6 linked regions of the Sus scrofa genome follow. The main gene of each other region encodes a partner of the protein of the gene in region 2 in a complex. Links are inferred from orthologs where the notes say so. Each region holds a gene or a part of one and is shown on either strand. Other genes may lie near its edges. The genes, in order: EXOSC2, EXOSC9, EXOSC4, EXOSC5, EXOSC6 and EXOSC3.

What was found.
Region 1: EXOSC9 (region 2) and EXOSC2 share a complex: the UniProt entries of both Homo sapiens proteins name them as parts of the RNA exosome core complex. The link is inferred for Sus scrofa from reciprocal best matches to the Homo sapiens genes EXOSC9 and EXOSC2.
Region 3: EXOSC9 (region 2) and EXOSC4 share a complex: the UniProt entries of both Homo sapiens proteins name them as parts of the RNA exosome core complex. The link is inferred for Sus scrofa from reciprocal best matches to the Homo sapiens genes EXOSC9 and EXOSC4.
Region 4: EXOSC9 (region 2) and EXOSC5 share a complex: the UniProt entries of both Homo sapiens proteins name them as parts of the RNA exosome core complex. The link is inferred for Sus scrofa from reciprocal best matches to the Homo sapiens genes EXOSC9 and EXOSC5.
Region 5: EXOSC9 (region 2) and EXOSC6 share a complex: the UniProt entries of both Homo sapiens proteins name them as parts of the RNA exosome core complex. The link is inferred for Sus scrofa from reciprocal best matches to the Homo sapiens genes EXOSC9 and EXOSC6.
Region 6: EXOSC9 (region 2) and EXOSC3 share a complex: the UniProt entries of both Homo sapiens proteins name them as parts of the RNA exosome core complex. The link is inferred for Sus scrofa from reciprocal best matches to the Homo sapiens genes EXOSC9 and EXOSC3.

The regions. Positions count from the first base shown.
Region 1 is NC_010443.5:270,751,049-270,755,781, reverse strand, and holds part of EXOSC2 (exosome complex component RRP4), read right to left. Parts: intron 3,396-4,733; coding exon 3,350-3,395; intron 3,136-3,349; coding exon 3,046-3,135; intron 2,040-3,045; coding exon 1,974-2,039; intron 1,511-1,973; coding exon 1,442-1,510; intron 56-1,441; coding exon 1-55. UniProt on the Homo sapiens protein: Non-catalytic component of the RNA exosome complex which has 3'->5' exoribonuclease activity and participates in a multitude of cellular RNA processing and degradation events.
Region 2 is NC_010450.4:102,264,420-102,268,834, forward strand, and holds the end of EXOSC9 (exosome complex component RRP45), read right to left. Parts: coding exon 4,285-4,415; intron 3,099-4,284; coding exon 3,020-3,098; intron 2,416-3,019; coding exon 2,331-2,415; 3' UTR 2,288-2,330; exon of another isoform or gene 2,267-2,287; intron 1,856-2,266; exon of another isoform or gene 1,601-1,855; coding exon of another isoform or gene 1,552-1,600; intron 1,367-1,551; 3' UTR 1,237-1,366; downstream 1-1,236. Other genes in the region: CCNA2 (cyclin-A2), read left to right, coding at 1-103, 549-662, 1,055-1,188, 1,552-1,600. UniProt on the Homo sapiens protein: Non-catalytic component of the RNA exosome complex which has 3'->5' exoribonuclease activity and participates in a multitude of cellular RNA processing and degradation events.
Region 3 is NC_010446.5:617,535-622,981, forward strand, and holds EXOSC4 (exosome complex component RRP41), read right to left. Parts: upstream 3,803-5,447; 5' UTR 3,767-3,802; coding exon 3,596-3,766; exon of another isoform or gene 2,863-3,595; intron 2,636-2,862; coding exon 2,429-2,635; intron 2,320-2,428; coding exon 1,960-2,319; 3' UTR 1,459-1,959; downstream 1-1,458. Other genes in the region: GPAA1 (glycosylphosphatidylinositol anchor attachment 1 protein), read right to left, coding at 78-257, 536-609. UniProt on the Homo sapiens protein: Non-catalytic component of the RNA exosome complex which has 3'->5' exoribonuclease activity and participates in a multitude of cellular RNA processing and degradation events.
Region 4 is NC_010448.4:49,378,115-49,383,613, forward strand, and holds the start of EXOSC5 (exosome complex component RRP46), read right to left. Parts: upstream 3,634-5,499; 5' UTR 3,590-3,633; coding exon 3,442-3,589; intron 276-3,441; coding exon of another isoform or gene 254-275; coding exon 140-253; intron 1-139. Other genes in the region: BCKDHA (2-oxoisovalerate dehydrogenase subunit alpha, mitochondrial), read left to right, coding at 4,087-4,203. UniProt on the Homo sapiens protein: Non-catalytic component of the RNA exosome complex which has 3'->5' exoribonuclease activity and participates in a multitude of cellular RNA processing and degradation events.
Region 5 is NC_010448.4:13,294,340-13,298,998, forward strand, and holds EXOSC6 (exosome complex component MTR3), read right to left. Parts: upstream 2,604-4,659; 5' UTR 2,535-2,603; coding exon 1,716-2,534; 3' UTR 1,252-1,715; downstream 1-1,251. Other genes in the region: RNA-binding Raly-like protein, read left to right, coding at 275-313. UniProt on the Homo sapiens protein: Non-catalytic component of the RNA exosome complex which has 3'->5' exoribonuclease activity and participates in a multitude of cellular RNA processing and degradation events.
Region 6 is NC_010443.5:238,538,049-238,543,675, forward strand, and holds the start of EXOSC3 (exosome complex component RRP40), read right to left. Parts: upstream 3,709-5,627; 5' UTR 3,065-3,708; coding exon 2,741-3,064; intron 2,059-2,740; coding exon 1,909-2,058; intron 1-1,908. UniProt on the Homo sapiens protein: Non-catalytic component of the RNA exosome complex which has 3'->5' exoribonuclease activity and participates in a multitude of cellular RNA processing and degradation events.

The sequences.
Region 1 (4,733 bases), on a different chromosome or scaffold from region 2:
TCTTCTGCCGTTTTACCAGGGAGGGGGAAACCTGAACCAAAACGCCCTGACCCAGCTAAAAAAACACATCGTAAATTGGGTCACCACAGGATCACCAGGGAGGGGAATGAGAAGCAGGGTAGAGTGTGTCCTGGCTACACTGGAATTAGGCCCTTCTGTGGACAGCTGCTCCGATGTGCACACGCACACAGTGGCTCTGCCCAGAACACTCTGGATGCATCCCGCTCTTTACATCCCAGCAGAAGATGACTCTCGGTCTCTTGTCCACCGTCTGTTCTCCCGTGTAATCATCCCCACTTTCTAATCCAGGGCTGTCCGAGAAGCTGGAGCCAATGAGGACATGGGCTCGAGCCTCTTATGGGCCAGAGAGCACTGTTCTCTTCCGCCTTGACCGTACACCTGTCTTGCCCACGAAATGTGTGCCACTGGACAAGGGGACCGACTGAGGGCTGGTACAGGTCCATCCACCCCCGGTCTGCCGGTCAACTCAAGGCCCACCCCGGCTGAGGGCCGTCTACTTCCGACCCCGGCCCGTGACGGGCAGCACGTGCAGGGCAGCGTCCCCTTGCCTGCTTCGAGGACGTGAACGTGACTGGCTGCAGCCCTTCTACTAAGGACAGAGGATTTTGTTCCGCTCAGAAAACGAACGCTCACCCAGTTAAAGCCAAGGGATGAATAATCACAGTCTGTTTTGCAAAGTATGAGGTCATTTAAAAAGCAGCCTGGGAGTTCCCACTGTGGCTCAGCAGAAACCAGTCTGACTAGGAACCATGAGGTTGTGGGTTTGATCCCCGGCCTCGCTCAGTGGGTTAAGGATCCAGCGTTGCCGTGAGCTGTGGTGTAGGTTGCAGACACAGTTCAGATCTGGCATTGCTGTGGCTATGGCGTAGGCTGGTGGTTACAGCTCCAATTCCACCTCTAGCCTGGGAACATCCATATGCCATGGGAGCAGCCCTAAAAAGACAAAAAAAAAAAAAAAAAAAAAAAAAAGTAGCCTCAATAACATCCCTTTAAAATAGAAATGCAGTGAAATTTCCCATTTAGAGGCTCAAGCAGCAAACCCATCTTTCCTAACAATCTCCATCTTACTGACTGGCTGTCTGTCTCAGGGCCATCCTGTTTCAGCAGCCCTCCACCTCCCATTGTTCCCAGGACTATGTCTCAGTGCAAATGCAATGCAAGGCTGCCGTGCCCTCAACAGATGGCAGGGGCACAGGGCCACAGGGCATAGGGGCTCTTCTGCCAGAACATCTCCTCAGTAGAAAAGGTCAAGTGCTGTCGTCCTTTGCAATGCTGCCAACGGTGTCACTCAGCGTCGGGGACAGCAGTGCACTAACGCCTAGCTGCTCGGCTTCTTTAGTGGGCATTCCCGAGAGCGCAGGGGAATTGGAAATGGATGTGAAGTCAGTTGGCACATGGGAATGGCCGGAGCCCAACTTACTTTTCCGTATTTGAGACTCCTCGTGTGCAGAGAGACGGCTCCGTCAGAGAACACTGCCTGGACCTCAGCCTGGCCGGTTCCGGATGAAGGAACAAACATTCTCACGTCACCTGCCTCCCTGGCCCCCCCCTCCAGCCTTTCCTCTCAGGTCCAACCTCCTGCCCGAGGCTGTAGACAGACCCAGAGGTCACACTGCTGTGACCATGGAGGTCATGGACAACCTGACACCACCTTTTCTCCTTCCTGGGAGAAATGCTCCCATCGTTAGGAAAATGCGAGCTAGCTTAGAGCCTGGGCCACCGTAAGTTACAAGACCCAAGGACAGGACGGAGTGGCAGCAGGTCCGAACAAGAGCTGGAGGGTCGGCCAGGGTGAAGGAAGTGAGGAAAGGCTGCTGCAGAGCCCTTCACACTCGGTCAAGGACTCAGGTCCCTGCCGGGATGATGCTTCCCCTGTGGGAGGCCTACAAGGGGAGCCCCGCGCCCCAGCTCCCTAGCAGACAGGAAGACGCGGAACGCAGCAGGCAGGATACACTGATAAGGTCCCCTTCCTGCAAGAAGCCCCTCATCGCCAGCTCGTCCTCTGCTGATCTTCTCCTCTGGAATGCACAGAGACAGGGCCGCGTTACTGAAGGCAGGTCCAGGAGGGAGCTCTCGCCACCCTCCCTTCTCTCTCACTTCCTCTGAGGTCTCTGAAGCCAGCCACTGCGTTCACAGGCCGAGTGGGTAACCTGTGCCACTCAAGGAAGATGAAGCGACGGCCACTGCTTTCCATCTTATAGGCTTCCCACAGCTCCTCTTCTCCTTCCTCTGGATAAAACTCCAGCTCCTTCCATGATATTCCAGACCCGCCCAATCTAGCGCGGCCCGCCCTGCAGTGCCTTCCTCCTGTGGCTGCCCGCCCCGCTCCAGCGGACCCACCACCTCCGGCTTCACTCGATCTCTGCTCACGCGTTCCAATTTCAGACTCCCTGAACTCACTGCTGAAATCCTATCCAGCCTTCGAGGATCAACTCCAGCACCCCTCTTTCCTTCGAGCTCTTCTCAGTGAAATTATTCACTCCTTTTGTACGTGGTTCATCCTGGGGCTGCCAGGAACCGTCTCCCAGACCCCCTCTAGTCTGTAAGCTCTCCCAGACACTCGGTCCTGCCTCTTGATCATGCCCTTCTCCAGAAAGCCTGGCACAGCGAGCCTCTCTAGAGAAGATGTGGGACTGAAGATAAAGCTGAACTGTGGCCTTTTACAAAAGGATGCAGCTTAGGGACTGTGGTCGTCTGAAACGACCAAAAGCCACTGAGTGCCTGAAAAGATAATCTAAACATGACTTTTCAAGTCACACCTTCTGGGAGCGAAGCTGGTATACCCAGAAAAGGAAAGAGATCAGCCCTCTTTCAGGATCGGTCCCCCGGGGACCTTCCAGATCTTAGCGTACACCATTTGCTGCCTAAGCTGGGAGCCTGGGCCAAGTGAAAAGCCTCCGTGTACATCCGGGCAGCACAAAAGTGGTCAAAGTGGCAACTTCAGTGGAAAGCAAGTACGTGGGTGAAGCAAAGGACCCCAGAGCCCTCGCCAACCAACCGTCCAGTCCCACCGGAGACCCTCACCAGCTCTCCTCCGGGAAGGTTCATGGATGACAGAAGCAGGACCGAGTCCAGCCTGGAGTTGGTCTCCACTTTCCACCTCTTCTGTTGGACCTACAGACAAAGAAACCCCGAACCTGGACACATACCCGGGGGCCAGAGCGCACACTGTAAACAACTGATAACCCTAAACGTAACCAACCAACCATTTACACCAAAACACGGCACATGCCTCGGCCAGGTAACCGCATCTAGAACGAAGATCCCATTCACTAGGTCACCAGCTTGCTTCTACTTTGGGAAAACCAACCTGGCAGACTTGACTTACCTCCGTGATTCTCCCCACTACAATGTCCCCCACTTCACCATTATATCTGAAAGATGAAACAAAAGGTCACCCAGTAGTGAAAAGACTTTAACATGAGACCAAATCCCACTGGGAAGGTCAGTTAAACCAGACTGGGGGGGCGGGGGGGCCTTGGTTAGGCACCACATTTATTTAATTTATCTAACTACACTCTAGACTCATTTTTAGGAACTGATAGCTTCAAAACATTCCTATACATACAGCCTCTGTTAACCATTCTTTTTTTTTGACCACACCTGCGGCAGGCATATGGGAGTTCCCAGGCCAAGGATCGAATCCAAGCCACTGCTGCGGCAATGCTGGATCCTTAACCCACTATGCCCAGCCGGTGATCAAACCTGCACCTCAGCAGCGACCTGAGCTGCTGCAGTTAGATCCTTAACCCGTGGTGCCATAATGGGAACTCCTTCTGTTAACTAGTCTTAAACCATTTATCGCAAGTAGTTCCCTAAGCCTGAAACCCTTTCTTTGTTAACTGCATGAACATGGTAAGCATGGACTCTTTTCTGCTGGGCTCTGGAACCCAGAGGGGACAGGACATCACCCAAACCAGTCTACTCGCTGTCTCACTCACCCACTGGCTGCCAGTCCCTCGTCCCGCTTCTACTGATGTAGTGTTCCAGACTGAAGGCTCAGTCCTTGGGCCTCCGCCCATTTCAGCCCACACTCACGTGCTGAGCTCATCCAGCCAGGCGGCTTTACATACTCCCGAGGAGCGTACCCCTCCCCTCAATTCCAGACTCTAGTCGACTGCTGGCTACCCAGCACCTCCACTGGTGTGAATTTGCAAAACACGCCTAAGACAAAGCTTTCCAGCAGCCCCCCTCCCTCCCCCACAGCAAACGGATCCGCTCCTGGTTGTCACCATCTCAGGAAATAGCAACTCCACCTGCTCAAGCCAGAATCCCTGAAGGAACCCTTCATATTTCTCAGTCTCAATCTCTCTTTCTCTCATGTTGCAGAACAAGTCCAGCAATGGAGCCTACCGCCTCTACCTTTAAAATACAGGCAGAAAATAAAAGGCAGCCAAATTGGAAAGGAAGAAATAAAACTATCTTTTCTTTTCTCACAGACATGGTCTTCTAGTACAGAAAATCCCAAGAATACAAAATCCAACACTTTCTCATGATGAAAACACTCAGAGCACAAAATACATGCCACCGTGGCCACTTCTGCCCACTCCTACTGCCATCACCTTAGTCTAGGTCAGCAGTGCCCTACCCCTGCCCCGTCCTCCCACAGCAGCCAGAGTGATTTCATCTAAACAGAAGTCAGACCAGATCCCTCCTCTGCCCTACCTCCTCCAGTGGCTTCCTAGATTTCACAAAGTACAAGTCAAAAATGC
Region 2 (4,415 bases):
AGTCCTTGCTTTTGACTTAGCTGCACCAACAATAAATCAGTTTCTTACCCAGTACTTTCTGCACCAGCAGTCTGCAAACTGCAAAGTTGAAAGTTTAGCCATGGTAAGTTCTTTTCATGTTGTTGAATGAAGATCCTGAGGTTACAATTAGGGGTAAACCGTAGTTTCATTATCCAGCCTTGGTCAAGGGATTTAGTACTTCAGGGATAGACTAGTGCCACAGTATGAAAGAAAGCCTATCACCAGCAAAAAGGAATATAAATTGAGAAAGCACTAGGGGTGGTGCTATGACGATGACTTCCCCGGAAATGATAGCCAAAAGAGTTGATTTAAGAGCTATTAGAGGAACTATACATGATGGGAATGAAGCAAAAACACTGATAGTGGATATATTTAAAGATGTGGCTATGGATTTTTTTTCCCCTATGGTTGCTTTAGAGCAGTTTTAAAAGACAGAAAAAAAAAAATGTAAGACCAGAACGCAAGGATTTCAAGTTTGAATTCCAGAGCTCTTAGGATCATAAAATGTATTTTTTTTTTTCTTCCAGTTTTTGGGAGAGTTAAGTTTGATAGATGCTGACCCGTACCTAAAGTATTTGCCATCAGTTACTGCTGCAGCAGCCTTTCATTTAGCACTCTACACAGTCACGGGACAAAGCTGGGTATGTATTACAACATCTTTACACATCTATCTTGTGGCTTAAATGTTTATGCCACATAGACAACTGATGGTTGTCCAGATGTACTGAACTGAGAGAGTTGTTCAACACTGTTTAAAGCATAAAATGTCTTGTACCTGTTTAAAAGCATCTATTTGTTAGGTTGAAAGCTTAGTTATTACTTGGACTAGAAACATGTGCTTGTGCTTAAAGGATTTGGCAGGGAAAATAGTAAAAACTGAAGTCCAAAAAAAAGAGCTTGAGAAAACTGGAAGATGTTAGTTGGGGGGTGTTAGTAATGAAGTTTAACAAAACTCAAGCTTAATGCCAACTACTAATTTGTGTTTAGTGTCTCTTTCTAAAAATGAGACTCAATGGTTCTCTCCCTCCTATAGCCTGAATCATTAGTACAAAAGACTGGATATACGCTGGAAACGCTTAAGCCTTGTCTCCTGGACCTTCACCAGACCTACCTCAGAGCACCACAGCATGCACAACAGTCAATAAGAGAGAAATACAAAAATTCCAAGTAAGAATGAACAACAATGGATACTAAAAAAGCTTGCTTTCCAGGCTATTGTATGGTTCAGAAACCCTTGACATTTTAACTTTATTAGGGGATTCACAAATCAGGCACAGCCTCCCCGGGCAGCTCTTCTCTTGGCAAGCCATGTGTTTTGAATAGGTTGTAGTTAAAGGTTTCTGTCCTGTATTTGAGGAAGAGGGGAGAGGAATGAGCATGCATGCAAATTTGGGGTACTAGACAATGATTTTATAACCATTAATTCAAGTAGACAGAACTAGCATCTGTGAGTTCCTAGTGTGTATCATTTCATGATCTGCTTCATGCAATGAATATTTACTAAAAATGGATTTTTTTCCCTACTTACAGGTATCATGGTGTTTCTCTCCTCAACCCACCAGAGACACTAAATATTTAACAGTGAAAGACTGCCTTTGTTTTCTAAGATGTAAATCACTCTAAGTATATGGTGTACAGATTTTTTTTTTAGGTTTTAATTTTACAATCATTTCTGAATATGGTCAAGTATGGTCAAGTTATGGTCAAGTACAAATTATGGTATCTATCACTTTTTAAATGGTTTTAATTTGTATATCTTTTGTACATGTAACTATCTTAGATATTTGGCTAATTTTAAGTGGCTTTTGTTAAAGTATTAATGATGCCAGCTGCCAGGATATTAAGAATTAATAAATTGATTTGGAAAACTTGGTTTGTAAGTCAAATTTAATCTGAAGTAAAATTTGACTTTAAGATTTCACTCAGGAAAACCATGGTTTACTAAACCATGGGAGGGGCTGGGGAGCCTTCTCTCTGACAGACAGGTGCTGACATTCACTCCCCTAAGGAACTGGGCCAACTGGCTGACTCTTCCAAGCCTTTGTACACATGCTATGAAATGCTTTTTCACTCAACAATTTATACACTTGACCTAACAGAGTGATAGCTATTTAAAACCTGTTTTAAAAGTTCTCCAGAGGTATATTTTAAAGCATAATGTGGGGGGGGGGGGAGGGGGAAGAAAGAAAAAACTGTATAAAGAAGTAGCTAGATTTTATAATGGATTTGTGAATAACACCCAAGGTTGTTAACACTGAATAAATACCTTTTTAATAGTTATATACACAAAATATACAACTATGTGTACTTTAATTAGCAGTTCTCTTCTTTTTTCTCTTTTTCACTGGTTTTTTACTTGGTCCTTTTTCTTGTGTTGCATGGATGGTCTGTGTTCTGTGAACAAAGTAAATTTAACAATGTTAGTACTGGGAGCTGACTCCACAGATGATTTACCAGTCTTATATCAGTGTGCTGATTCAAACTTTACTTTTTCCAGTAGGATATAACATTTGCCATCTGTGACAGAATACTGTAACCTTGAAAAGCATCCAAGCTGTTCTATAGAATTTATAGACATATAGTCCTAATGTCTATAAATCTCAGGCTAAAGAAACCACAGGAAAAACATCTGGATTGCTGATTACTGTTTATAGTAGGATAAGATGATAATAAAACTAGAGGGCAAGCCTCTTAGCAGGTCGTGAGTACGTAGGGAGTTCCTGTCATGGCACAGTGGGAACAAAATCCGATCAGGAACCATGAGGTTGCAGGTTCAATCCCTGGCCTCATTCAGGGGATTAAGGATCTGGTGTTGCCATGAGCTGTGGTGTAGATGGCAGACGTGGCTCGGATCTCAGGCTGTGGCTGTGGTGTAGGCATGCAGCTGTAGCTCCAATTTGACCCCTAGCCTGAGAAGCTCCATATGCTGTGGGTGCGGCCCTAAAAAGCAAAAAATAAATAAAGAGTCGAGTATATGTATACACTTGAAATTTATTACCTTATTTTCTTTGGGTTCTTATCTGGTTCTAAGATGATCATTTCTTCTTCTTCACTGTCTGAGAGTACAATTGGGGCATCTTTAAAGAAATGTTAAGAAAAGAATATAAATAATTCCTTGGAAAATTTCCACATGCATTTATATCAACTATCTCTATTAAGATAAAGAGCCCAAGCAATTCTGTGTGGAGGCTTACTGATTTACTAAAAAATATTCTGGTTATCTAAACATTTTGATACATGTCAATCAAAAAGATCTCTTCTATAGAACCAATTTGGAAACTGAAGTCAGTATGCCAAATGAACTGCTTGAGTTACTTTTTAGAATCTGCTGATTTCATGGGCACAGCCCGCCCCCACAAAAAGGCACATACATTCCAAAAGATGTTTTTGCCAAATCCCTTCAGAAATGTCCCAATTTACACTCCACCCATTTTCCAATACATACTTGTATTTGAGAATAATTTGCATTCTCCACTGAACGTTATTTCATCTAGCCAGTAACTAAATGTCTAGCCATTAACCTTATTAGCAGATTTAGATTCACTCACAGACCCTGTGTTTAAGCAGCTGGTGTCAGTGTAATGTATAATACTATGTAACCACTGGGAAACCTAAATAAGATTCCCAATCAATGGGTTTTTTTCCCCTTACAAAACCCTCCAGGAAGTCCTCAATAATATTTACAAGCAATAATCTCTTTCCTTGAAGGCAGGCAGAAATGTGCAATACATAACCTAAACAATGCCACCTTCACTATTTTCTCAGCCAGATTGAGTAACTGCACCTTTGATTTCTCTTTTTACAGTTCATGATTTTCTAGTATGAACCAAGTCAGAATTTGGTTTCCTTTAAAATATCTACAGGTGAGAACAATTTCACTAATTCTACACTTTTAAGAATGCAAAGAACATCAGGACCCTCCAGTATTCATGTACTTTTAGAATTTTCTATGTTCTAATGCTGCTCTAATGTGGTAGCCACATGTGGCCCTATGTGACTTTAAAGCAACTAAAATTGAGTTCCCCATACAAGCCACATTTCACTGCTCAATAGCCACATGTGCCTTGTGGCTAACACACTACTGTGTAGATATAGAACATTTCTTACACTGCAGCAAAGAGTTCTGTTTGGACAGTATTTCTCTAATACATGTTACAATATTGCCTTTTTGTTTAAATCACAGGTTATTTAGCCCCTCTAAAAAAGCAATTGCTAATATACAAATAAGATCCCTATAATCAGGAGATATACAGTTTCACATACCTTGGCTTCCAATATTAGAGATTTCTACTCCAGTGTCCGTTTTTATACTATCAAGAATGATAGCTTCATCACTGCCACCTTCATCCTCATCTTCCTTCTCAGAGTCTTCAAGATCACCCCAGGAGTTTTCT
Region 3 (5,447 bases), on a different chromosome or scaffold from region 2:
ACAAAGAGATCTTCTGAGCAGAGCTCTCTGGCTTTGACTGGTATTGCTTCCAGCGTACGCATGGCTCTGCCGCTCACCCCGTCTTCCTGCGGTGAGCAGCGAAGTCCCGGGCAAAGCTCCGGGCACGGTCTCCGCCCGAAAATTGCTCCTCCACCATAGTGGAGCCTATGGCGTTCTCCGACATGTAAGTGCGCTGGGTCAGCGGCGGGAAAGCCAGCGCCAGGAACCAGGCGATGCCCGCCACGTAGCTCAGCACACTGCGGGGAGAGGGGCGGAGGGGGCCGCTGGAGCATTAGCAGGCTCCGAGATGCCAGCCCGTAGCCTCTACCTCCGCACTGGGGGGGTGGAGGCGTCATATCTGTGGGACCTGGATCCCGAGTCCCAGCACCCGGGACGCCGGACGGGAGGGCTGAGCCCCAGGCCTGGTGCCCCGAGTGATGCCGGTGGGCGGGAGAAGACTGGCGCGAGCACCCGGAGGGGCCCCGGCAGCTCGAGCCCCGGTCCTCCGGCCCCCGCTCCCAGGCACCCCCCTCACCAGAGCGGCGCGTTGAGGCGCAGCACCAGGCGGGCGAGCGCGCGCCGGCGCACCGGGTCCGACAGGAGGCCCATGGCAGGGCCGGGCGGCTCCGGGACCGCGCTCCCCGCTGCCAGCTACGGCACCCGGCCCGGCGCGCCGCTCCGGTCCCCGCGGGGCTCCGCGCCCACCCGCACTTCCGGTCCCGGCGGGCCTCGCGCCGCTGCGCGTGCGCGATGCCGCCCGTCGCGCCCCCACCCCGCAAGCCCCGAGCAGAGCTGCTGGGAAGGGAGTTGCCCCCGCGTCTGCGTTTCCTCGCTGGCGCAGAACGGGAGCAGCCTCCAGGCCGGCCGACCGCGGCGTGTGGCGCCGGAGGGCAATGAAGACTGACTAGTCGAGAACGCTCGGCTCGAAGGAGAATCGGGATGATGAATGGGGCAGGTGGGAGGAAAACCGGAAGCAGCGACCAGAGCGTAGACACTGGAAGATGTCTGAAGATGCTGCTGCCACTGACAACGACAGGCTTGAGTGCCCTCGCGGGAAGTGAAGGGGCTTCTGTGAGCTGAGGCCAAGGCGATGGCGGACCTATTCCTGTGAATGTCGGTCACCAAAAAACAGCAGTAGGGGCCCGAGTGGAATCACGTATTGTGCCCAGAACCAAGGTCAGTGGGGCCAGATGACCACAGGAAGGAAGGTGCATGAATACTGCTGGCCAAAAGGGGTTGCAAAGGAGCTTGGGTGTGTGGAATAGAAAATGGGGAGCCCGCCTGTCCAGGCCAGGTATCTGGGATATTAGAAAAGTAGTCCCTGAGTTCAGACAGCAGGGGCTGGTGGTCAGGGCTCAGGCAGGTCTGACAGCAGGAGGCAGAAAGAGATTTGGAAGGAAGGTGCAACCATGGGTTGGGGAGTGTCTGGGTCAGACTGAGAAAGGGCCAGAGCCAAGATCATGTCGCTGTTGTACTTTCAGAGCTCAAGATAAGCCACAGGACAAGCTCAAGGGATTCTGGGGGGAAAGGGACCATTCAGTCCAAGACATAATCCAGAGGATGTGGGAGGTGCCCCCCCATCACCTTGGTGGCACCCATAGCCAAAGGAGTTCTCCCTCAGCACTTGTGCTCAAGGCCCTGGATGTGCTGCAGTGAGAATCAGACTCCACAGTATGAGGGCTTGGCTCATTACACCAGGCCTTGCCACATTGCTCAGCTGTCTTGAACCCTTCATGACACAAGCGCCTCTCTTCACCCAGGGACACCCACCGCCCCCTTCCTCAGGGTTGGAATCCTGAGGCTGCAAGGGTTACGCAGTTCACGCGTAGGGAGCACCCTTTGTCGCCCCTGGAGCCAGCTCCGGGCCGGGCTCTGAGGGCACGGAGGTGCTTTGGGGAGATCAAAGTACAGTGGACTGAGCGCGTGTGAGTTTTATTCTGGGCCTGGGCGGCCGTGTACTCAGTCCCCCAGCAAGATCGAGGCCTCTTGTACGTGTTGCCGGACCACACGGTCCAGTACGGTGTGCACATCTCGGGCGGCCTGGGCAGCGGCCTCTAGCACCTGCTCCAGGTGGTCCTCATGAAGCCTTGCATCCATCTCCAGCAGTGCGATCTGGCCTGAGGCTGGCAGCAGGGCCAGGGCCAGCTGGGGGCCACCAGCTGCTTCCTCCACATGGCTGAGGTCTGCCAGGGCTGTCCCATCCACAAAGCCAGCTGAGCAGGCACATACAAAGTCCCGCATGGGTATCCCGGCGTCCAGCACTGCCAGTGTGGCCACGTTCACACAAGCCGCATAGATCCCACCATCTGCCTGCAGCACCTGCAGTGACACCCCCCCCCAGTGGTGTCAGTCCATTAGGCTGCTGATGCCCGACCCCCACCCCCTCCTTCTCTCTCCCCTCCGCAGCTGACGGCTGCTGCCTGCTCACCTGCACGTAGATATCAATCTGGGAGCGAGGATGCAGCTGTGTAAGGATGGCTGCCTCAAAGGCTTGACGCAGCTGCAGGCCCATCTCGCAGGACTTTCGGTCCCCATGTGGCCGCCGCTTGCGCTCACCTGTGCTGAAGGTCGCAGAACTGTACTGACAGTTCACCAAGGCCCTGTCCGGCAGGGCTCGTGATCGCGAGCCCCGGATCTAGGGTGGGGGGGAAGGACACGTGAGCCAGGCCCACTCCTCCCAGCTCATGCTACCCCTTCCTCTGCTGCATGTCCTGAGCCTTGGCCTCCCTGCCTCCTTCCGTCCTTCCCTCTACCTCCAGCATCTCAACAAGCAACTACTTCACCTCCAAAACACGACCTAAGGGAGGGCTGCTGGGCCAGCATCTAAGCCATCATCACTCTGGATCTCATCTCTCTTAACAGGCCTCCTTGTTTCCATCCTTGACTCATGTCTTCCAAGCCATTCTCCAAACGTCAGGTCTGATCTGTCTCTTCTGCACGCCACATATGTCACGTATCTTCTAAAGGCTTCCCACCACGGGTGAGATTAAAAAAATCCTAAATGTTGTCCCTGTCTACAAAGCTCTGAGTTCTTGCCTCCCTAGAATTCCCTCAGTCTCATTTGGAATTATTTCCCATCTTCCTCACCATCAGCCTTTCTACTCTGCAAGCATGTCATGCTTATTTTCATCCTTATGCCTCCAGCGCTGGAGGGGCCATACACCCAGGCGGTTTTCTTTAAAGTCCCTGTCTTCACGGAGTTTATGTTCCAGTGGGGACACAAACGTGAGAAATAAGTTCAACCGACGTCTGAGCTGGCGGATGCAGAAAGGCAGGGAAGTGTGTGGTTGTAGGGGAGAGGAACTGACAGGTGAGTAAGGTGGTCTGGGGAGGTGACCCGCGGAGGGTGACGTCGGAGCAGAGCTGAGAAGTGAGGGAGCGAAGCGAGGGGGAGCACGCCTGGCGCCTTGAGGAGGAGCAAAGACGAGTGGAGGGCGCAGGGAACAGGGGCCGACGAGACAGGCAGGGACCACGCGCATCACACCATGAGGGCTTCGGCCGCGGCCCTACACGGAGGCCTCACCTTTCGACCCATCCCCGCCCACCCCGCCGCCGCCGCCGCCGCCGCCGGATTCCAACGCGCGCGCCCACTCGCCTCGTGAGGCCCGTAGACCACCGCTAGCGCCTTGGTGTTGCCCTGCTCGATGTAGGCCGAGCCGTCGGCCTGCGCAAACACACCCATCCGCGCCTGGATCTTGCGCAGCTCCCGGGCGCGCCGCCCGTCCACACGGTAGCCCTGGTCCGACAGCAGCTCCAGCCCCGCCATGCCGCCCGGCCGCCAGCCCCGCTTCCGTTCTCCGGAGAACTACAGTTCCCGGCGGCCCTGAGGCCCCACCTCCGACCTTCCGGGCCCACGGTTTCCGGGGCGCCGGCGTCCACTTCCGGCTCGGAGGACTGCGGTTCTCGCGGGGTTCCCTGCGGCCCCACTTTGGGCGCCCGGGGAGTTTCGGCGTTGGGGGTGGCGGCGGAGGGAAATCTGCCAAGTGTTGGGCTTGCTTCTCCGCGGCCGCCCGCGGGGGAGACCGGCTGTGCTGGCATCCTCGAGGCGGTCCCCACGACCCTGGGAGCCCCCCCCGTCCCACGCTGTCCTGGGCGCCAGGGCTTTGCGCTGCGCGCCACCAGCCCCAGCGCAGTTGACGCGCCTTGGCTTCTCTTGGACCCCCTGGAGTCTCTCCGAGGCTCGCGGGTGAGAGCAGCGGCTGCTGGAATGGAAGCATCGTTTTGTCTCTCATGGCTTCGAAGTTCTGCGACCTTAAATGCATTTATTCTCCCAATCTGAGACTCTCTGTTCTCTTCTTTTGTACAGTTTTTACATTTGTTCACTTAAAAAGGAAGCACATGATTTATGTTGTACGTACACATGGTCATATATATGAAATACAAAGTCTGTCCAGTTAATCCTGCGGAGCTCTGATTTTTTTGCTTGATACTTGCGGGGCGGATGTACGGGTAACTGCCGAGTTGGGGGCAGTGGGTGTGTGTCCACGGGCTTGGGGAATGGAAGGCTTTCTGGGTGAAGGCTGTGAATTCCCACCCAGAAAGTGTTACTTTTTTTTTTTTTAATCTAATCCTTGCCAGCTTGCAGACTGTTACTGACATCGTGTAATTCCTCTTGCATTTCCTGACCTGGTCTATTCCAGCATCTCATGTCAGTTAAGTCCACTGGAACTGCTGACGGGTCTACAGGAGGGAGAAATGAGGTGCTTTCCTCCCCAGGTGCCTCCTGTTTCCAGGTACCTCTGTGTCACTGAGGGCAAGGTCGCTAACAGAGTTCACCCGCCTTTCTCCAGCTGCGTTATTCAGCCCCTCTGCAGTACCCAGGAAGCCAGGTCCCATGCTTTCTGTTTGAACATGGAAGGATGAACTGACAGGGTTGCAACACTCACCAACAGGAAGCGACATTCACAGGGCCTAGGCAGGGGCACAGGCCCCATCCCAGCAAGGTCCACACTTGTCTTGTGCTCTCTCCCATCACGGCCAGCTCCCATAGGCAATGAAGTGGGCCTCCTTTTTCCATTTGTGAATGCAGATACCCTCATCCTTTCCAGAAAGGGATTGCATGGACCTGTGTGTCTGTTTATCCTTTGCTGCAGAGCCTTAGTGCCTTCAAGTAACAAAAATTAAATATGTCCCTATGTCTTACAGTTCTGGGGCTTGCCTGGGCTCAGCTGGGCAGCCTGCCTGCGGTCACTGCAGATGGCGACGAGCATTGTCTTGAAGGCTTCCTCCTGCACGTTTTGGTGGTAGATGCTGGCTGTTGAGCGGGACTTCACTGGGGCTATGAGATGGCACACCTACCCCTGGCCTCAGCCTCAGCGGGGGCGTCTTCTGAGCGTGACACCAAGGTGACCCCCTGAGACAAGGTGGCCACACATGGTATTTTGACACCCTGCCTCAGAAGTTGTGTAGTGTCCCTCTTGCAAGACTCTGTGGGTCAGGACAGTCAT
Region 4 (5,499 bases), on a different chromosome or scaffold from region 2:
AGAAGGGACAGAAACAGACTTGGAAGCATGTTGTTGGGGAAAAGAGACAGAAATAGCTGGAGACAGACAGAGGAGCAGGTGGGGGGAGGGGAGAGCGGGGAGCGCAGTGAGGGAGACCCCAGGCGAGAGGCCCAATTACCCGGCAGCCCGATCTTAGGCCTCAGGATCACCTCCAGTGTGGCCTTGTTGAAGATCTCTTTGCGGACCTTCACCTCGGCTGGGCCATACACGCCTGCCAGGACGGAGGTATCCCCTGGGGAGACAGCACAGGAGGCCTTGCCCACGTCTCCCCCGCCTCCGGGGCCCAACGCGCGGCACTTAACAGTGTGGGCACAGAGCCGGTGGCCGGGCTTCCCCACGTCACCCCGGCTCTGGCCCACCATTCCTTGACAGTGACTCTTGGGGCACTTGCTTCGTTTCTCTGCCTCCACTTCCCCATCCGTCAAACGATACCTCCTCCCTCACAGCTGTTGAGGGTTAAATGAGATGATCCACTTAAAGGAAAAAGGCTCAGGAGCTGCCTGGTACCCCTGCTGAGTGCTCAACAGACTTAAGCTGTTATTAACTTCACCGGGAAGTCCCTCCTGCACTAACCTCCCTCCCTCTTACTGCTGCTGGTCCCAACTTCTCTTCCCACAGCTTCCCCTAGCCCAGCTCTCAACTCTGCAGCAGTAAGGATACCTGAGAACCCAATAAATACCTGGGGGGTGGGGGTGGGTTCTAACTCCTGCTCATTTCCTCCTGGCTCTGTAACCTCAGCTGATTTTGCTCACTTCTCTGGGCCTCAGTTTTACCATCTGCAAAAATGAAGAGGCTGAACTAAAACAGTAGCTTCCAAATTTTTCTGACCATAACCCCCAATAAGAAATATATTTCAGGAGTTCCCGTCGTGGCGCAGTGGTTAACGAATCCGACTAGGAACCATGAGGTTGCGGGTTCGGTCCCTGCCTTTGCTCAGTGGGTTAACGATCCGGCGTTGCCGTGAGCTGTGGTGTAGGTTGCAGACGCGGCTTGGATCCCGCGTTGCTGTGGCTCTGGCGTAGGCTAGTGTCTACAGCTCCGATTCAACCCCTAGCCTGGGAACCTCCATATGTTGCAGGAGCGGCCCAAGAAATAGCAAAAAAGACAAAAAAAAAAAATTTTTTTTCAGGGAGTTCCCTCTGCAGCTCAGAGGTTAAAGAACTCAACTAATATTCATGAGGATGTGGGTTCGATCCCTAGCCTTGCTCAGTGGGTTAAGGATCCAATGTGGCTGTGGCTGTGGCGTAGGCCAACAGTTGTAGCTCCGATTCAGCCCCTAGCCTGGAACTTCCATATGCCGCAGGCCCAGCCACAAAAAGCAAAAAAAAAAGAATCACTAACGAATGCACATTGGACTCACTGCAGAGCTTTAAAAGACACTGATGCACAGGCCCCTCCCCTCAGAGAGCCTAATACCATTGCTGAGGGCTGGCGCTCAGGCACCGGCAGCCTGTGAGCTCCACAGGCCATTCTAATGTGCAGCGGGGATTGCAACCTGCAGTGGGAGGACACGGAGCTGGTGCACAGCTTCAAAACGCTGGCCTGCAATCAGAATTGCCGCTGTAGTGGATTAAAAAGTGTAGAGGGCCAGACTTAGCTGGTGTGGGTGGGTTCTGAGGCTTCAGCATTTTTTTTTTTTTGGCTGTGCCCACGGCACATGGAATTCCTGGGCCAGAGATCAAACCCTTGCCACAGCTTGGACCTGAGCCACAGCAGTAACAATGCTGGAACCTTAACCTGCTGAGTCACCAGGGAACTCCTGGGGCTCGGAATTCTTAACCTCAGTAGAGATTCTGAGGCCAGGAGCATGTGAGACACACTTCTGAGGGCCTTTGAGGGACTCTGCTCCAGGGTCCTGGGCTTTGGGGTTTTAGAACATGGAAGAGGCTCAGTATTTAAGTGCTAAGAAACTTGCATGAAGGGCAGTCCTCCGTACCTCTCTTTGACCTCCTGTCTCTGCTGCAGCCACTTTGCTCTCCTGACTGCTCCTCAAACACACCAGGCAAGTTTTTGTCTCAGGGCCTTTACCCTTGTCCCCAATGCTTTTCTCTTACTGTCTTGAGGGTTTGCTCCCTTACCTTTAGATCTTTATTCAAATGGTACCATCTTAGCGAAGCCTTCCCTGACCATCCCATTTGAGACTGCACCCCTCTCTGGCACGCCCTATTCTTCCTTCCTGCGGTAGTTTCCTCCATAGCCTTTTACTAAGTTTTACTTAGTTATCACTTGTTTCTCTGATGGAAATGGAAACTCTTCTAGGGCAGGAATTTAAAAACTTATATAAAACAGAAAAAAATATAAAAAAAGAAATTAAAAAAACACAAAAAACCTTTTTAGCTATGATTTCTCAGTGCTTAGAACAGTACTTAGCAAAAACACATGTGTTCAGGAATTCCCGCTGTGGCACAAAGGAATTGGCAGGAACCCTGGCCCAGCGTTGCCACTCTAAGGGCATAGGAAGGACACAGTTGGGGCTTGGATGTGATCCCCAGCCTGGCAACTCCGTATATATAAAACAACGAAATTCCCATTTTGGCTCAGCGGGTAAGAACCCAACTAGTATCCATGAGGCTATGGGTTCAATCCCTGGCCCCGCTCGGTGGGTTAAGGATCTGGGGTTGCCGTGAGCTGTGGTGTAGGCCGCAGATGCAGCTCAGATCTCGCATTGCTGTGGCTGCGATGTAGGCCAGCAGCTACAGCTTCATTTGAACCCCTAGCCTGGGAACCTCCATATGTTGCAAGTGCGGTCCTAAAAAGCAAAAAAAAGAAAAAAGAAAAACAAACAAAAAAAAATCAGTAGTGGTGATTTGCCAGTCTACGAGGTATTTACGCAAAAGAACAGGTTTGCCTCAACCAGGGATAGATGAATCCAGAGTGCATGTGTGGGAGGAACCTAGTCAAGGAGGACTTTTTTTACACGGTGAGATTTCCCCTATTCTGGAGTATTCGTTCTTTTTTTTTTTTTTTTTTTTTTTTGCTCTCTCAGGCCTCACATGGAAGTTCCCAGGCTAGGGATCTAATCAGAGCTACAACTGCCAGCCTACACCACAACCACAGAAACCCCAGATCCGAGCTGTGTCTGCGACCTACACCACAGCTCACAGCAACGCCGGATCCTTAACCCGCTAAGGGAGGCCAGGGATCGAACCCTCATCCTCATGGATCCTAGTCGGGTTCCTTAACTGCTGAGCCACGAAGGGAAGTCCCTGGAGTATTCGTTCTTAAGAGAAGGTCTGCCCCTCTCTCATCCTGAGGCATATTTACCAGAGTGGAGGTATCTTCACCCTTCTATTTGTCTACTGGCATATGCAGTACCATTCACTCCGGCAAGAACTGCATCAGTCCAAGAAGATATTTACCAGCTAACACAATACACTGTACCCGCCCACGAGAACAAATACGACGTGGGTAAATTCTTACCTTGCAGGAAAGAGGCAGAGCCATCGGGCCGGGACAACAAGTTTTGTTCGCAGGCAAAGTGCCGGAGAGTACAGCTGGGGCTCCGAGGGCCAGACTCTGCTCCAGACTCGGGGCGTACCTTGGTTTCAGTCTGCATCGACTCCTCCATCGCCGGGGAGCCCACGTGCAGCAGGGACTGTCGCTTCCGCCCAGAAGCGCGCGCTTGCGTACAGACTGCGTACCCAATGAGCAAGCGCCAACTTGGGTGCGGGGCCCTCCGGGATCCGCGCCCGCACGTGTCTCTGCGTTTACTAACAATCTGGTCCCTCCTACTCCCGCCTAGAGAGTCCAGGAAAGCCATTGGACAGAAGGGAAGAGAGGGCGGGCCTTGGCATGAGCTCGTCCTACCCGAGGCCCCGGGGCCCTGAAACCCTGAAGCCGAGCTCAGTTGCCCTCTGCTTTGCCTGTTAAGAGGAATAACTCCGGTGAAGCGATCGGAGTAATTTGGGGAAATCTGGATTATTTTACCCACCTATATATGTGTCCTAAAGACCGCAGGATTAGTAGCAGGTGGTTTCTTGGCAGAGCGATCCTGGTATTTGAGTCAGGCTCCTGAAGGGGCAGCCCCAGTCTCGCCAAGGAGGGGGACGCTACTCTGAGGTATTAATGGTCAAGATGGCGTTGGCGGTGGCTGTGGCGAGGGTTTGGGAGCGCAGTCAAGGCTTGGGCCAGGCTGGCCTCCTGCTTCTGCGGCGGCTTGGGGCTCGGGGTCTGGCTAGATCTGTGAGTACTGGGGAGGTACCCGAGAAGGTATAGAAATGTTAACTCCTTCTTCAGAGTGTGGCGTCCCTGTAGGGAGTACATGGAGGGCGGTTGAAGGGAGAAGGGCTGCAGAAACATCTTGTAGCGGACCCTCAAGGGAAGAAGTTTCACTTCCTTAGGAGAGGCAAAGCGGGACAGCTTCTTTGTGGACCCTCAGGGAGGAAGACAACGTGGAGAAAGTGAGGGAGGGCGTTTCTTATTAGTTGCCACCAATGCCCCGGGGAGGCCTCTTGGAGGACATGGGGGGAAAGTGTGACCTTTCTCCTCAGGGGTTGGAGAGTGAAATTGCGTTTACAAAGGAAAGATTTTCTTCTTGGGAAAGACTCCCCCTTCCAAGAAGAGAAGAGAGAGCAGATACCCCAGCACAGGCTTTTATAGTGCCTTTTTGCTTCAACTCTGGTTTTTTTTAGTTTGTTTTTTTACTTTTTATTGGGGCATCTGCAGCATATGGAAGTTCCCAGGCTAGGGGTGGAATGGGAACCGCAGCTGGGGGCCAACGCCAGATTCTTAACCCAGTGAGCGGGGCCAGGAGTGGAACCTGCATCCTCATGGACACTATGACCGGTTCCTAACCCACTGAACCACAACAGGAACTCCTGCTCTGATTTTAAAATGAATCGTGTAAAAAAGTCGTTTGATCCTGGGTCCCCTGATGCAGTACCTGGCTGTTGACCTTGTCTGTCTTGATCATTACAAAGGAGATGATTAGTAAGTATTTGTTCAGCTAATGAGGGTGGACGAGGAGGGAGAGAGGTCCAGACAGAGCACTTGTCCACATTGCTTAGGAACACGTAAGAAATGCCTCATTTCTTGTCGCAGGGTCAGCCTTCCTTTAGGTTGATGAGAGCTTTCACAGCAGAAATCTAATTGGGAGCCCCTCTTAAGGGGAAGAGAGGCAGTGGGCTGCAGAAGAGCTGTGGATTGTTTTCACATGTAAGTAGTTAAGAAGGTGTGCTCTGAAGCTAGACCATGTGGGACCAATATCCCTGATCTGCTGTTTTCTAGTTTTTTAGCTTTGGGCAAGGGACTGCTTCTCTCTGGACCTAATCCCCCCCACTCCCACCCCCGCCAGCCAGTAAAATGCTAACAACAGATTGTTGTGAAGAACACAGAAGAGTGCCAAGGACTGGATGTGCCCATGACGAGGGCAGAGTGGATTTTGGCTGCTGTTGAAAGGGGACAGAAACTGACTTTGGAGATGAGGGAAAAGGGCTGGGTTGGTGAGGAAATCTATCAGAACTTTGTGGGGGAGTACCC
Region 5 (4,659 bases), on a different chromosome or scaffold from region 2:
GGCTGCCCCTTGGCCTGCTGGGCTCCACGGTAACCCTTATTGCCGCCCAAGACTGAGTCACATCTAGGCAAGACTGAGCTAGGTGGAGAAAAATGCCTTCTTCTGTCTGATGGTTCTGGGTTTCCAGGTCTACAGTAGCACTGAGGCCAAAGCTGCCAAGAAAGGGAGGTGGGGATGGGAGACTAGAAGGTGTTAGCATTTGAACCTCCTTTTCCTAGTCATACCCTGCCTCTCAGCCCTCTGGGCTAAAGTCCTGCTTCTGCTTCTTCTACAGGTAAAGAATCACGCATCAGACCAGGAGGGCAGCCAGTAGAAGGCTGGAACTCCCCCAGTCTCATCAGCTCCAGGCACTTTCTTCGGCGGTTCCTATCCCCTGCCTTGAGTAGCACCCACGCTGGAGCAAGCGCAAAGAAGTGGAGGCATGGCTCAGCCAGTCCAGCTGGGAAGCCTCCCCCCAGTGCTGACTTTAGCTTGAGGATCATGTTTCCAGATGACCATCTGGGGGCTAGCGGGGAAGGAAGGAGCCCTCCAAGTGCCCAGCACCAGCTCACCATTCTCATAAAGTTGAGGCCACTCCTGTTAAGAGGCAGCTGGAAAGGGCCCCCCTGGGAGCACCACCAGCCCTCTGACTACAGGTACCTCCCTAGCTGCTTCTCCCCGCCCCTCGCCAAAGCCTTACCTGTCCTCTCTGGGTCTCAGCAGGAGTATCACTTTTATGTTGTTTCTACCTTGTCTCTTGCTGGTGTGATCTTACATATTTCAGATCTGCTTTGGAAAAATATGTCACTGAGGAGAAATAAAATTTTCTTTTCCCTGGTCAGGGGTCCTTAGTGTAGTCTCAAAGCCTCACTACAGTCTCTCAACTGCCCCTTTCTAGAGAAGCTGAGCAGGCCTCGGAGACACACAAGCTCAGAAGCTCACACCAAGTCAGGGCAGAGGAGAACAGGCTGCCAGGCCTTTCTCCAATCCAGACCTGAGCACAAACCCACAGCGCTCCGGAGCCACACAGGGACGAGTCCACCCTTGTGGTCAGACAGGCCAGCTCTGCCCTAATGGAACAGGCTGCATCTAGTTTCCCAACATTCAGAAACTCTCACTCTTGGCAGTCAAATGTCCTCTTCCAGGAACCAAGACTGGACCAGGGACACCAGGACACATTTAAAATAATACTGTCCCAAGCCTTGAGTCCAAGAACACACTACACAGCTCAGGAGAGCCTTGCTCTATCCTGTACCAAGAAGAACAACAGAAGAACTTTTCAGCTATAAAAGAATTTCTGTTTTAGTTCAGATAGAAGTGGGAAGACACAACCCCCTTGTCTATTATCTCAAAAGCAGGCCCATTAGATAGGAGACAGTCACTAAGTGGCCCGCACAGGGTCCATCCCTCACAAGGCACTAGCTGCAGGTTCCCGTTTTTCAGGCAAGTCCACCTAAAGTCCTTTCCACCTTGGAAATCAGACTGCAGTAGCAGGTTTCTTCAACTGGGTCGTAGCTGAGCGCCAACCCAATTAGAAAAGTTTCTTAAACGATAGTTTATAAAACAAACAACAAAAAAAAAAACACAGCTGTCCGGCACATCAGTTCTGAGCGCACTTTCCCAGATCCTCTCCCGGGCTCTAGTTCTTGGCTCAGCGCCGTCTGCAAGCCGACGGCTCGGGTTCTTTCGGCGACAGCGGTAGCCTGCTCCTCGGCGTCGTTGCTCACACTTATGGTTCAAGGCGGCGCGGAGGCGCCCCTCCGGCGGGCGGCCCGTACCAAGCACTGCTGCAGAACTGGGTAGAGGCGCTGGCAGCCCTCGAGACCCAGGCGCACGGCTTCTGCCCAACTCTCTGTCGGGCCACCCTCCCCGCTGCCCAGCAGCCCGGCCACCTGGTTAAGCACCGGCATGAGCGCCACGGTGAGGCTGGCGGCGGCGCGTTCCTCCTCGAGCAGCGTGGGGTCCAGCAGCCAGGTGGGTGCGGGCCCAGGAGTGTGGCTTAAGCCGCAGCCCACCACCAGGTCGTACATCTCTATGCCCGCGTCGGCCAGGGCGAGCGCGGCGGCCGTGAGAGCGGCGGCCAACGCCGAGCCGCCGTCCTCGAGCAGCAGCGCCGACACTTCAAGCTGCGCGCGCGGGTAGCGACCCAAGCGCACGGCCGGCTCGAGCGCCTCCTGCAGCGCCAGCGCCAGCTCACGCTCCTCGCCGCCGCCTGGGGGAGCGCGGCGCCGTCGGCCCGAGAAGGGCGCGCGGCGGAAGTCGCAGAGCAAGCGGCCCCGCAACGCGGCCGGGGCCTCGCCGCCCGTTCCGGCCGGGCCGCCGCCGCGCTCGCCGCCCTCGGCCTGGCGTGGGCCGGACACGGCGCACAGCACCTTGGTGCCTCCAGCCTCCAGGTAGGCCGAGCCCTTGGCTTGACTCAGTAGCCCGGCGCGCGCGTACACGGGCCGCAGCCGCGTCGGGTCACGGGCGGCTGGCTCCTCGTCCTCGCCGACCGCGTACAGCTGCGGCGGCTGCGACTCCTCAGGCCCGCGGATGCGGCGGTGGTCCCCGGGCATGGCAGCACCTAGAGTACAAGCCACTTCCGCCCGTCCTGCCTCGCGCGCCTGCTCTTCCGCTCGCTTAAAGTCGCGCGCCCGCGCGAGGGCTGTCGGGATAGCAGCGGGCGGCGCTGCACTGACCCCTGCCGCCCCGGAGGGAGAACGGCGAGCGCTGTAGAGCCCCAGGCAGCAGCGAGGACACCAGGTGCTTCGTGGTTGGGTGGCTGTGAGGCAGGCCTGCAGAAGTGGGACCTAGACCTGCTTGGCCGACCTTTAGCCGATGTGAAATTGTAGTCATTTTAATTTTGCATTTATTTGTATGATTATTTTTTTGTTTTTTGTTTTCTTTTTTTGCCATCCCACAGCATGTGGAGTTCCTGGGCTAGGGATCAGCCAGTCACAACGAAAGCCACAGCTGTGGCAACACCACATCCTTCACCCACTGTGCTGGGCTGAGGATCGAAGGGTCCCAGCGCTCCCAAGACACCAATGATCCCACTGCACAACTGGAACTCCCGTGTGACAATTTTCTGTTTCCTACTGCCTTGCCTAAGAGTGCAGTGACCTTTTGTCTTGGTCACTGCTGTACTGTCAGTGCCCTGGCTGGCATAAACGCTTGCTAATGAATAAATGGAACTGTCTCCTGCACTGGATTGTGAGTTCTTTGTATCCCTGACACTCCATACCAGGCATGCAGCTGCTGCAGTCAGGGCCTCAGCACCTTCCTTCTACCTAGCTCTCATAACTCCGTGTGAGAACAGCCTTTCATTCCCAGGCCTTGTGACTGTTGGCCTCTGCTGCTTCAGCTGCCATAGACCTGCTTTTCCTCCTCTCTCCAAAGTCAGCAGGACTGAGAAATGACCCTCGGCCTCAGAGCCAGCCTGCTGTACCCAGTGGACTGGAAATCAGCCAGAGGGGGCACAACCAACTACTATACACTGCTGCTTCCAAACCTAGCTGTCTTCAGACTTGGGTGAAGGGGCAAACCAGGTCAGAGTCTCCATCCTCAATGTCCAACTTTTAAGTCCTGGAACCAGGAATGAGGGGACAGGCAAAGGAGTGGAGGGAAGCAAGTGATCTACCCTAAATGCCTCCTATACCAAAGAATGCTTCTGATCTACACCCAACCTGCACACCAAGAGGAAGAGGGATATGGGCCTAAGAAATGGAAAGGTTTTCCTACAAGAGGCTCCAAGGAGATTCTCTCTGCCTCCAATAATCCCTTGAATCACCTTCCATTGAATGATGAATGCCTCTCTTCATCTAACCCCCCTATTCTGTGGGCCACCTCTACATGTAAGTCCTGAGCCATTATTCCCAAAGTTCAGGGGTCTAGGGCTAGACTTGGCAATGGCTGCAACCAGAAGCCAGTTGGAGCACTTATTCTACAGACACCCGGGGAGCCACAGGCTCTCACACCAGGGGTGCCTATGGGTAGGATGTGCGGGAGGGAAGGGAGAGAAGCGATCATGTGGCATTATCAAGTATTGCACATGGTCCTTTTATTCTCTGCAGCAAAAAATGATTCCTTCCTGCAGGCCCAGAACCTTGGGTCTACAGAGAACTCTTTCTATAGACACAAGCTTGACAACGATAAACAGCAATCCTAGGGTAGTGGTTCTAACAGATGGTGCTGACGTGTTCAGGGCAGAAATGTAACAAGGGCATTGAGTCACAGGCTGGCTCCCAGGTTAAGTTACAGTTACTGCTGGGTTAGGAGGACAGATGGGGCTGCTTAAAGGTCCCAAGATTAAAATGTCCCTTGTGGCAGACGGAGAGCTCCTGGTTGGACGGATGCATCTGAGTGAGGAGACACCTCCCTGTGGAAGCCACCCTTCCCCCTCAGTTCTTCACATCTTCCAGGCGGAGCTGGGCAAAGGAAGTGGCCAGCTGCAGCGCCTCCTGCAGGCAGCCCACGTTCTTGCCTGTGGCCTGAGCGGACACATCTTTGCCACCACCTTTGCCATCCATCAGGCCTGACACCTGTTGCACCCACTCGCTGGCTTTCAGGCCCCGGTTGGCTATATTCTAGAAGAGAGGAAGGAGAAATGGGAGTCAGGACAGAGGTTGGGATGGAAGGAGACAAGGAGTGGGGAAGGAAAGAAAAAGAACAGGGGAGCCAGATAACCCATCCCGCCCTGGG
Region 6 (5,627 bases), on a different chromosome or scaffold from region 2:
TAGATGCTGCTGGTTCTTTTTCATAGGAAATGCCAGCCACCTACTATTCTGTGGCTAAACTGACTACACTCCAGGTTCCCACAGTCACTCTAAGAGTTGAGTCTTAAGGCAAAATTAACCCATGTACCTTATCCTTCACCTACCAGAAAATCTCCAGACTGAGACATCACAAAGCCAGAGAGCACCCTCTAGGGTTACACAGTCCAATATGGTAGCCACTATCCATATGGGCGTTACTTAAACTTACATTTAAATAATTAAAATTATATATTTAAAATTTCAAGTTTCTTGGTTGCATTAGCCACACTACAAATGCTCAACAGCCACGTGTGGTTAGTGGCTACCATACTAATCAGTGCATATGTAAAACAGTAGCATCACCACAAAAAGTTCTATTGCATAGCACTGCTCTAAGGAATTATAGAAACTCCTGGCATGCAAATTATTCAGAGCAAAACACAACACTGGTAGTTCATTGACACTTTTCCATGCAAGACTTATTTTAAAAACCTCAAAGAGTTTAACTTCAAAATGATGAAACTAAGGAAATGGGGAGTCAACCTTTTTAAGTTAAATACTTACTATTTTTGGTGACTATAGGAACCAGAGAGGTCCCTCCTTGGTCTCAGAGGGTAGTGGGGATGTACAATATAAATAACAAATTTCATTCTAGTTGAATCCAGTAAGAAAAAAGTGACTGAAAATCAGGGGTGTTTTTACAGAGGCGGTGGTGTTCAGCCTAGGTCTTGAAAGACAAGCATGTGTTGGGAATAGAGCAACCCAGCAGAGGAAAGAGCATGGGCAAAGGTACAGGGCTGTTACATAGTTTGGTGGGATTCAGGCAGGGCCACATGGAGAATATCACTATGGATGAGAGGAGACCTCTGAGTATCAGCCAAGGAAATACGTAAGCTTTAAAGAACTTTTGGGGGTGGCGTGGGTAGGGGGAGAAAGAGTTGTGTCAGTTCTTAAAAGCCTGGATGGAGGGGCAAAAGTGTACAAAAAGGATGTTAATAAGGAGGTCACAGATTAAGTCAGTGAAGAGAGATAGCTAAGGCCTGAACTTGCAAAGTGGAGATAAAGGGGTGGACATGTGGAAGATCAGAGGTAAGACTCAAAAAGGATCAATAAGATTAAACAACTAAAGACACAAGAGAGGTGGAGTTCCGTCGTTGTGGTGCATGGGAAACAATCCAACTTGGAACCATGAGGTTGAGGGTTTGATCCCTGGCCTCGCTCAGTGGGTTAAGGATCCAGCGTTGCTGTGGCTGTGGTGTAGGCTGGCAGCTGTAGCTCCGATTGGACCCCTTGCCTGGGAATCTCCATGTGCCACAGGCATGGCCCTAAAAAGACACAAATAAATAAATAAATAAATAATAAAGACACAAGAGAGGTGAGTGAGAAGAGCAAAGAAGCCACCAAATTTCTGACTTAGATTGGCAGGAAGAGTGTGACCATGCTACCTGAAAAGCCCCAAATGAAAACATGACTGCACCTCTGTCAGCTACAAAAAAGGGATTGCTGGGAAAGTGATCTGACAAGCTGTGAGATGCTACTCCTGGGACTCACACTGGGATAGACAACTGACATGGCAATGTGCACCACTTTCCCCTCTTTCCTCCCTGAGCCTATTGCCTTGTCCAGGGCATATAGACATAATAACAATGGAGAAAACAGATATAATCTTTCAACTCAGTAGAGATGAAAACATCCCCTGATGGAGCAAATGAAAAATAAGTATGAGGTCTGGTCCCAGAGCGAGCATCTCAAAGGGCTCTTAAAGCCTGGAGTGATAAGTCATCCTATAGAAACTGGGAAAATAAGACACTTAAGATAGCCCTCTGGATATCTGAGTGTTTAGGGATTGGGTATTTTTCTTACTTTTGAAACCAAAGGTCCTGTCATTACCTGAACATTTGGTCTGTTTCTTTTAGTTGCACCTTCAAATGCCAAGTAAGATAAAGAAGCTGGCTCACTCCCTCCAACATCAACTTTGAATATATCTCCAGATTTAGCGGTAACTATGCCAATCACATGGTCTCCTTTGACTGGAACATACTACAAAAGAAAACACAACGAGAGAATGAATGACCATAAATGACAGTCATTTTGAAGACATCTTCAGCAAGTCCTTAGTGGTTACTTTATTATCATTAGAAATACTTAGAAAATATTTGGAAATCCAAGTTTACCAATCAATACAAATCTTAAAACAAACTTGATCACATGCCACCTTCAGTAGAAGAAAAGCAATCACATGATAAGCTCTAAAGATTGCAGCTTCTAAACAGTATAATGTGTTCACTTAAGTCAGTATTCCACAACTCTTCTGTATCCTTCTGTTCCTGTATCCTCAGGAACTCCCTAGTTTTTGTTTGCATGAGTTCAGTGGTTTGTTTGCATAAGTCCCTGTGACATCTACTCATTGAGCCTGGTTCTTTGGGACCCTCAAAGACAAGTCTGCGGCTCCTTGACTTTTGGAGTTTTGAAGATAATGACGTGTCTCACAGCCCTTATCCCCTTATGTGACAAGATCTCCAAAATCCTTTCCTGGTCGCCCATCTCGGGTCACTTTACAGTTGTTCACAGTCCCCCTAAAGGAGTTGCGGAGGGTAAGCACAAGACTACGGTAGCTGTAGGCTAGCCTTAAAAGAGGGCTCCAGGGTCCCTTCTGTATTTCTCTCGAGGAGTCTTCCCAGCCCTCTCCCGGCCGTCCCACCCCTTCGGAGACCCGGCTCACCCGCTTCTGCTGCGAGTCCACCCAATAGACGCCACTGCCGCCGCCGCCGCCGGCCTCCTTGTGACGGAGGCGGCCGCACTTGGTGACCAGCAGCCGGTCGCCACAACGCCGCAAGCCCGGGCCACACACCACGCGCACCCGCGGGCGCGCTCCGGCGTTCAGGCGCAGCGGTCGCTCCCCTGCACCTCCTGGGCCTTCTCCGTCCTCCTGCTCAGGCAGCAGCAGCTCCTCACCCGGGAGCACCACCTGATCCAGCACTGTACGGGCTGCCCGCGCCCTGCAACCAGCAAAGGACTCCGCAGCATGAGCGGCTGGCTCAGCCATAGCGAGTGTAACTAAACAGTTTCCGGCTTCCGGGTCCGCGTCCAATCGCCAGGCCACCCAAAGCTTTCCGTTTCCGGCAGCACAGGCCTGTGGGACTTGAAACTACTGCAGTGATGCCTGACAGTTCTGTGCTCTCAGAGGTTGCCCCAAGGTAGCTATGATTGTCTCTAGCCGGCCGCTAATCCTGCGGTGGTCAGCAGGAGAAACGCGCAGCTTGAGTCTGTCGCGGAGCCTCCACTTCCGGTGTCTCGGATCGGACGGTGCGATACGAGACGGCGCCACCTTTGGTTCCCGGGGAGCCTTAGGAACTGAGCAGAGGTCCTTCTTGAGTTGGCTCTCCTTTCTGACTCTGCCCTCAAAAGGACCTTTACGAGGAAAAGTGTTTTCTTTTTCAGTATGAAATCTTTTTGGGTTTTGCTTGAGAATATATCTATTCACATAATGGAAAACATAGAGAAGAATAAGAACATAAAACGTGTTAGTCTTGCCGCCCGTTTGTCTCCCTTGCTAGATTGTCAGCTAGTTCCCATTGTTTGTAGCGCAGGTCCTGGCACGAAGTAGGTAATACCCGGTGAATAAAAGGAAGAATGAATGTTAACATTTTGATGTGCATTTCTACCTAGGCTTTTTTCCTCCCTTCGAATAGATACATATTGCATGCATATTTCCACATAATTGCGCTACCCCTAGCTGGCTTAGAAAAATCGCTAATGGCAGTTAAATCCTTGCTACTGCTTTCCCTGGAGCTAGCTTTAGTTGCCTATGTGAAAAGCAGTTGAATTCCAAATCAATAGCACATCAGCTCTGTTCTTCTGATTTTCAGGACTCTCACTTGAAATCATTTTCCAGAGTTCTCACTCGGGGCCTTGCTGTGACACAGATTCCATCCCTGGTCCAGTAACTTGCACATGCCTCGAGTGCGGCCAAAAAAAGAAAAAAAATTTTAAATCACCGTTTCCTCTGTCAACTGGCACCTCCAATTAGCCTTAGCCAAATAATCGTAGGAGTCAGAGCTCCTGGGGATTTGGGAGGGTGTGGCTCTGATCATATTTAAAAGAGATTACCTCTAATATACTCTCCATACTCTGTAAGATACTGGTGAGACACCTAAATAAGATACCAGAGGTCAACTGAAATGTAATTTTTGTTGTTTGTTTTGTAGTCAGTTGCTGTAAAAACAATCTGGTTGGTTACCTTTGCAGAAAGGATGGTGTAGATTATTTTTCTCTCCTCCCTACTCCAACCCAGTTCCTGAAGACCTGAATCCAGTAGGTATTAGGTGACCAAGACTAACTCAATCACGACTGGGCCAAGACCATGCCTGAATTGTGCTCAGTGACATTGGGTTACAGCCTGAGAGGTCAGGAAACGATCCCTGGATGGCCTCTCAGGCATCAGTAGAGGAGTCTCTGTCAGGAACTCAGCCCAGATACGGCTGAGGAGTCCTAACAAGGGCACTTCTGTGGGGGTGGCACGTGGGCACGCACATCCCTAAGTCCACAGACCAGAGGCCTGGAAAAGAGTGGTTACCTGAGACAGGAAGCTGAGGCCGGGAGGGGCGGGTCGAAAGTACCTCGTGGGCGGTGCTCTGCGCGACCCTCCCAAAAGGGCGTGCCCAGAGGGTGGGACGCTGGAAGGCACCCGGGAGGCGGGAAGGCAGCCTGGCCTGGGCACTGCGTGTCACCACGTAGGTGCTTCGCCGCCGCGGAGCCGTGTGGCCACTGGTGAGTAAGCGCGAAATGGGAGCAGCGGGCAGGCCCTGCATGCGGTTGCGTGGGAAGCCGAGGCCATTAGCAAGTGTGCGGAGTCCGGCTAGGAGCCGCGAACCCTGACGGCGGCACTAAGTGAGGCGTTGGGCCGCGATTGCGAAGTTCTTGTTTCCGAAAGGCGTGCTCAATGTTTTCTGGCTGTGAAAGTGGCTTCAGTGACTGGGGAATGCATAGGAGACCAGGGCCCGTGCAATCGGCCACGGACCTTCTAGCTCCTAGGCCGTACCTTGTTTTTGGCCTCCTTCCTGAGCCTTTCTGGCAGATCCTACCGAGTGGATTAGGCCTGCTTCTTGCCTGGGGGCCTTGTTGACCTGGAGCCAGTGCAGTAGAGGTGGTGCTGCACTTGACTGCCTCTGTGATTTACCTCTGCATTTCTCAGTATTTCCCTTGGGAAAATTACCAAATCGCCCTTTGGAAAGGTTGAACCAAACCTTGGCCTTCTGGACTCTTACCCAAAACTTCCTCTTTAGAAATCTTTGCTATTTGAGAAGTTGTTAAAGTGGTATCTCATGGCTGCTTTGCTTTGTTGATTGGTAAAGTTGAGCCTTTTTGTAGCTTTCAGTCTACAAGACTAGTTGAGCATTTGCTCTGAACCAGGAAGTTGGCTGAATCATGGTCCTTGCCCTGGGGGAGTTCAGTGTGGCCACAGGAGAATACCAAGTGCTATGGTGTCTGTAACAATATGATTAGGGTAAAAGCCCAGAGAGTACAATGGGTGAAATGATTACCTCTATGTGGGAAGAAGATAAGAGTCAGGATAGGTGTCCCAAAAGAAGTAGTATTTGAATGAACCT